Saccharomyces cerevisiae S288C: one gene and its partner. Changing the gene in region 2 together with the main gene of any one other region gives a genetic interaction. Each region holds a gene or a part of one and is shown on either strand. Other genes may lie near its edges.

Evidence for each region. A genetic interaction does not mean that the proteins touch.
Region 1: mutations in SPF1 (region 2) and HAC1 together harm fitness more than expected from each alone (negative genetic interaction), as found in Saccharomyces cerevisiae (5 studies listed by BioGRID, with this or other methods).

The regions. Positions count from the first base shown.
Region 1 is NC_001138.5:73,240-76,647, reverse strand, and holds HAC1 (transcription factor HAC1), read right to left. Parts: upstream 1,470-3,408; coding exon 809-1,469; intron 557-808; coding exon 501-556; downstream 1-500. Other genes in the region: protein kinase RIM15, read left to right, coding at 2,221-3,408. UniProt on the Saccharomyces cerevisiae protein: Transcriptional activator involved in the unfolded protein response (UPR) pathway. Recognizes and binds to the UPR element (UPRE) in the promoter of UPR-regulated genes such as KAR2, PDI1, EUG1 and FKB2.
Region 2 is NC_001137.3:88,052-92,011, reverse strand, and holds the start of SPF1 (ion-transporting P-type ATPase SPF1), read right to left. Parts: upstream 1,755-3,960; coding exon 1-1,754. Other genes in the region: MCM DNA helicase complex subunit MCM3, read right to left, coding at 2,160-3,960. UniProt on the Saccharomyces cerevisiae protein: Endoplasmic reticulum translocase required to remove mitochondrial transmembrane proteins mistargeted to the endoplasmic reticulum.

The DNA.
Region 1 (3,408 bases), on a different chromosome or scaffold from region 2:
CTCATTGGCCCGGAGTTAGGGGGAGATGTTCGCTTGCGGGAGCACGGGAGAAGGAACAGAGCGGCGTTAGCATCAAGTCTAAGGTTGAAAAGCTGCCCAACCTAAGGGCATACATCAAGAATTCTTTATAGTTTTATATAAAAAAATATATATATAGATAAATAGACAGATAGATATGACACAAACAGATAGAAAAAAAGCAGAGCGTGGCTCTTTGAGGTGGAACCCCAGCCAGTCTTGCTCCTTGCAGCCAAAAAAGGGTCTTGTTCAAGAGCTATGTTCAGTGTCGCTGCCCAGTCGCCACAAATAATTGTAGGAGGGCGCGCCAACCTCACGTTTGCATTCTTGAAAAGCCTCTTCTTCTTCGGTTGAAGTAGCACACACTAACCGGAGACAGAACAGTAGAAACCACTAAGCGAAAAAGAAATATATGAAAAGAAAAAACCCACCAACAGCGATAATAACGAGAAAAAAAAAATTATACCCTCTTGCGATTGTCTTCATGAAGTGATGAAGAAATCATTCAATTCAAATGAATTCAAACCTGACTGCGCTTCGGACAGTACAAGCAAGCCGTCCATTTCTTAGTAATAAGAAAAGAATGGCTCTATTTGTTCAGGAAAAACTAGCATAAAAGAAAAAAAGAAAGCTTCCAATAACCCTGCATTCTGCTTTTGAAGGTACTTTAACCGGCTCCTCCCCCATCAGAGAACCACGACTAAAAAAAAAAAAAAAGAAAAAAAGCAGAAAGCAAAAGCTGGGGCTAGTGTTCTTGTTCACTGTAGTTTCCTGGTCATCGTAATCACGGCTGGATTACGCCAATTGTCAAGATCAATTGAATTGTCAAAGGGTAGACTGTTTCCCGCTATATCGTCGCAGAGTGGGTCTGCCAACGGCGAGGCCACCGCATCAAACAAATTGTTGTTGTCTACGGCAGGTAGCGTCGTCGACTCTGGTACATTTTCCGTCTTAAACATCTGCAGCTCCCATGAAGTCTCTTGGTCCGACGCGGAATCGCGCATACTCTTGGGCGACAAAGTCGCAGGCTCCATTGTACAGTTCAGAGGTGAAGGTGTGAACGTATCAGACGACGAGTGCGAACTGGCCCTGGTGTCCAGTGAAGCGCCCCTCGTGCTCTGGAAATCCCTGTACTCGTCAAGAGAAGCAACAAAAGCGTCGTGGCTGCAAGTCAACGCGTCTTCGTGGTCAGCCAGTTTTTCAAGGTTGACGCTGTTCAGTAAATTTTCCAAAAGAGAACATTTTCTCTCGAGATACTGCAGATGTAGTCTTTTTTTCTCTCTGCTCTGGTGAGCAGCTCTTCTGTTTCTCAAAATACGCTCGATCCTTCGCTGTTCCTTTTCCTCTTTTGTCTTGGCTCTTTTCCTTGGAGGCAGAGTCGACTTGAAGTTGGTAGGGATAGCCAAGTTCGATTGCGAATTACTAGTTAGTTCAAAATCAGTCATTTCCATAGTGGCGGTTGTTGTCGTAGGTGGGGGAGGAGGAGGTTGTTATGTTTGACACTGAGTTAAAGCCTTGGAAGTTTAAATAAAACAAGAAGACAAGAAGAAAGGAAAATTTCGCTAAAAAACATATTTCTGTATTCATTTCTCGAGTTGTCCATTGAGGTGAAATTTCTTCTAATATATAGTGAATGTAGGGAGCGAGAACAAAAGAGAACAAGGTGTTCAAAACCACGTTCATCACTCGGTACGATGTATATTTGCGACTCTTTTTAGCCCTACTTAATGCTGAGCCACTTTGCCTTACAACCCTCATAAATGTATTTTTATCCTAGCTTCTTTTTCCATATTGCCCTAGGTCTTGTTTATTCATGTCACGTGACTATATTTCCAGGTTTTTCTTTTTTTCCTCGTCCCTTTTGTGGGAAAAGAAAGCGTCCTTACTAAAAATGAGGGAGCTTTAACTTTAATATACAGCTTTTGGCAGCTTGGTGTTGTTTTTCATTGTAAAAATAAGTTGTTGTTCGTATCACAGCATTTTCAACTTCTGCATTGTCTGCCGTTTTTTGTATAGATATAGACGTATATATATATACAGAATTCTCTATCCTCTTAACCACTCCTGGAAGGCCTGCTGTAGAGGTTCTGGTGGGTGCTTTTACTGAATTCCTAACTCATCAAGCATTTTCCCTTTTTTTTTTTCCCTTTCCTTTCTCTTGCCTCATTTGATAGAATAGATAAGCCCAGTAGAGGAAGACAGATGTTCAATAGAAGTAACACCGCAGGCGGATCTCAGGCTATGAAAGAGGGACTTGGCATAAACAAGCTCTCCCCGATATCATCGAATTCGAACCCAAGCTCATTGACTTCCTCCAATTATGAAAAATATCTGCAGCTGGCCACAGAGAAGAATCCGTGTATGATCTTGGAGCTGGAACTGGACGGCAAGGTGCGATATGGCTCTCCACAGTGGAACACGATCACAGGAGTCGCCGATGATAGTGGCTCTTCTCCGACGTACATTGCAGACCTTATTCTCGGATCCGATCAAGATAAAGGTGTCTTTCAAAAGGCCACAGACATGCTGCTCATGAATGATGACACCAGTTGCACTATAACGTTCAAGATAAAGGCAGCCGACTATGAAGGTAGCGCAGGCTGTGACGATGAAAGTACGATAACGACCTTGGAAGCACGTGGTATCTTAATCAGGGATGGCCACACACAGTTGCCCTCTCACACGATGTGGATAGTCAAGCCTCGCACAAACGACTGGTCAGACTTTTATGCCAACGAAGACGCTCAAGACGACATGGTCATCCAGTTATCCGATAATTGCGACGATATCGATATCCAACTTCCCGAAGAGTTCGCCAAGACGCTTGGGTTCGGCGCTAAGATCTTCGTGCAGTACTTGAAGAGAATACGACTGGAAATGATAATAGACGAGTTCAATCTACCTCTGCCAAAAATGGAACTATGCCGGGTCTGTGAGAACTTTGTCCCTGTTTGGTGGTTGGAGACCCATTCGCAAAGTTGCGTTTGCGAGCATAGAACGGAATCGCTCATACAATTACTACACGATAATCTTCTTGAGCAACAGGCGATCTTGGCAAACTTCACGAAAGATTCAGAGTATAAGGGCAGTCAGATACAGGTACGTTCCAACAACTTCCTTAACCAAGTTTTAGACTCCTTAAGAGAGCTGTGTCAGGACGCCATAGATATCAACCCGAGTGAAATGGTTCCTGATCTTTACCACAGTCTTTCAACATTTCCTCAAGATAATGGTAATAATAACAATAATAATAATAATAATAATAATAATAACAATGCTTTGTTAGATCAATTCCCTATCCAAAAAGATACAGTTAGCTTGAATTCATATTTTCAGTTTTCCCCAAGGACTAACCACAACATTCAAAACGTCACGTCGTGGCAATCAAGA
Region 2 (3,960 bases):
GCAGAAGAAAATTGAAATCTACGGATAATATCCAATTTTCCGGTGCCCTCTCTATAGTTACTGTTTTTTCTTTCGACAGCCCAACCAACAGCCTTTAAGGTCGCCTTTTCCATTGGGTCACCAACAATATCACCATCTTCCAATTTAACTAAAGCGTGAGCAGCACCAATGACAAGAATTGTACTTTCTGGTGCTTCGGCAGCGCTGTACAAGTGACGAATGTTTTCGGAGTCCGCAGAGATACCAGCTAGACCTTCAAACACAAGATCTTCGCCGGTCAAAGTACCAGTTTTATCGAAACAACAAACATCAATTCTACCAGCAAATGGAATTCTAAATGGTTCAGTACAATAGACATAGAACTTGGCAAGGGCGGCCAGAGAACTGTTGACAGCCATGGTCAATTCCATTGGTAACTCAGGAGGAACAACAGATGTAATAATTAATATACAGTCCAAGATCAATTTGGATTGAATTCTACCCATTTTTGTACCCTCAACCCAAACGTACCAGGATGCAATAACAGCGAAAATCAACAAGAAAAGAATGAACATCAACGCTTCCTTATTATCGACGGAAACACGTTCAGCGGAGTAAATCATAACTCGAACTAAAGAACCCTGAGATGTTTCAAAGCCAGTTTTGGTGACGATGGCTAAGGCACCTCCATCAGGTGGAGGAGGGATATCCGATTTATGTTCAGGAGGTGTTACTTGTAATGCCTTTGTACCACCATGTAACACAGCAATCTTGTCAACACCGTCCAGTTGTAAATTATCTTCACTAGGACGTAATTTAATGGATTCCTTTAACAAGGGAGTAGATTCACCTGAAAGCATTGCTTCATTAACAATAGCGGAGCCATCGAGCAAGATCAAATCGCAAGGAATTGCGCTCTCCTCGGCGGTTCTTGTTATAGACACTAAATCCATAGGTAACAATTCATTGGTTTGCAATGCTACCCATTTTTTGTTTCTAAACACGTTAATGGTATAAGGTTTGATACCCATAGTTCTAAATTCCTTCAAGGCAGTTAATCTTTGAAATACTGCAGCTGCCTCCATGGAGATAATCATGAATAAGTTAAACAAAGAATAATACCAGAACTCATCCAATAGCCATAAGGCAACACAGAAAACTTGGAAAACAAACAATGGCGCAACAGCGTGCTCTTTGAATAATTCCATAAATGTTGGAATAGGAATATCAAAACTATTCTCACCATATAGTCTCTTCAAATGAGTTAGGTCACCGGAATGGCCCTTACATTTTTGGAAATCACCGATCTTTGGGGATTCATCAACAAGGAACTTTGGTGAAGAAAATACCTGCTCATTTTCATGCCACAAGAATCTTTTCTTTTGAAATTGGAAAAAAGTCTGCAAAGAGCCCGCTTCAGTTACTCTCTGAATTTCAACGATACCATCAGAACCATTATTTGGAGTGGTGTAGATGAGAATGTGAGTAGCTTCATTGACATTTTTAGTAGTACTGTAGTTGAATTTCGCCTTGATCTTGACATTCCAAGCAGGCATTAACATGACTAGGATGTTCAAGGATACCAATGTCCCCAAGTAGACAAAAGTCCACTCAGGTCCTTTGATGTAACGATCATATTGCTGGAAATATAGTTGGGCAAAGGTAGCGTATAACGGGAAAAACGGTAATACGTACGGCTTTGCTATTAATGACTTTGGTACCAGCAATGTCGAGTCCCTAACAATAGGACTGCTCACAAATGATTTCTTTGTCATTTACCGATTCCTATGTTTCTGTAGGTCTGATATGTCAACTATGTCTAGAGCTAAAAGCTTGCTAAAGCTTCATGTTATATGGTGGAAGAGACATTGCCACTTGGCTTTATTCAGAACACGCGAAGAGGAAGAGAAACGCGTAACGTATGGCGTGACAAGAAGCCACGAATGAGCAAGTAAGATAAGCCAAAGTATCACACATATTCATTAACAGAAGATATAGTGCCCCATAACTGCTTACAACACATTCAAACAAAAGAAGGAAATAAGCGTTTTAATACATAATTCTTTAATACACGAATAACAATTAATGAACTAAATAATCTGGAAATGAACTGAAAATTATGAATGACAAAAAGAAAAAAAGCCAAGAATGGAAGTCTTTTAGTAAACATTCCTGTGACATCAGACTCTCCAAACTTTATCGTCAGCAACCATTAAGTTATTTCTGTCCGACATGATCTTCAAACCTGCTAAATATTCTTGAGCGGAGAATTTTTCCTCCTCCGGTAGTTCTTCGTTGATTCTTTCGAACAAAGAGGCCACAGGATAGGATTCTTCTTCAAATATTTCTGTTTGCATCAGACGCGCAATAATACCTGAGATTAAAGACAATCTACCAGTAGAAATGGTACCAGGCTCCACATTGTCAAAAGAAATAACTGACTGTTGTTGCTCATCATCCTGACCTGCAGAAGATACGTTAGGTAATCTTGGAGTACCGACCTCGGTAAGAGGTCCCGACGAACCTTCCTCAGGTGCGTGAAGATGTTCTCTACGTCTTGGAGACACTCTCAACCCCAGTTGAAGCCTTCTTTGTAATTCAGCTTCCTCATCCGCAGGAAGCGGTGACATTATATCGTTATCGTCTTCACCAGCGTTCTGTTCGTCATCTTGAAAACGTAATATTCTGCGTGCTGACGATGGCGTGGCATTAACGGAAGATGCCGTTGACCTTCTTGGAGTAGATTTGATTGGGGATCCAGAGTTGCTTGCTGGTTGTCTGACTCTTTGTCTTTTTTTCGGTGATTTCTGTGGAGACCTCTTCGACAAAGCTTCTTCGTATTCACTTTCCTCTTCATCGATATCATTGCCGATATCCTCACCCAATAGTGCAAACCTTAGTAGATTGGCAGCCACTTTAGCATCCACCTTGTTGACTGTTTTGGATAACCTGACTTTGGCGTGAGCTGTGGCTAATCTGATCAAAGTCTCCAAAGTTCTTGCAGTAATGGGCGATTTTTTGGTATTATCATCGTTTCTTAAATCAGTATAATTTTTCACAATAACATTGATGGCTTCTTGTGTTAACTGTGGAATAACCCTTTCCTTGGCATATTGAACGTACTTTCTTAAGAATGGGATGGTGACTAGCTTTGGAATTTCTGTACCGTTATAGTTACCTTTGTTTTTTGCTAACTTAGCACCTGCTTGTAATAAGGGGTTGAACTTTTCGAAGACATGGTCTTCATCATCTTCTCCTTCATTTTCTACACCAGCCCCGGAGTTGGAATGCTCTTCAGGATTTATATCTGCATCCTCCCCAACGGCTAATGATAAATTCAAACGCTCTCTCACAGGTTCACCCTCTAAATAACCTGGAGGCAAATATCTGTGTGTTCTTAAGACATGCTCACTAATGGATCTATCTCTGATTTCATTGATATCGTCTGTCACAACAAATAGTAAATCAAAACGAGACAACAGCGAGTCCGGTAGGGCAATGTTTTGGTGTGGATCTCTATTGACATCGTACTGCCCAAAAACGGGATTTGCGGCAGCAATAACACTACAACGAGCATTTAATGTTGTGTGAATACCTGCTTTGGCAATCGTCACCGTTTGTTGTTCCATTACTTCATGAATGGCGACTCTATCCACATCTGTCATCTTATCAAATTCATCAATACATACAACCCCGCGGTCAGCAAGAACCATGGCACCAGCCTCTAGTCTTCTTTCACCTGTTTCCCTATCAGTAGTGACCGCTGCGGTCAAACCGACACCGGAAGAACCTCTACCAGTAGTAGCAATTGCCAGTGATGCTGTATTCAACACAAACCTTAGCAATTGGGACTTGGCAGTGGATGGATCACCCACCATTAGGATATTGATGTCACCTCTTAAATGCGAGCCATTTTCTAAATTTTTCTCCACACCTCCCATGAGCATCAATAAAATGGCTTTCTTTATATGGTCATGTCCA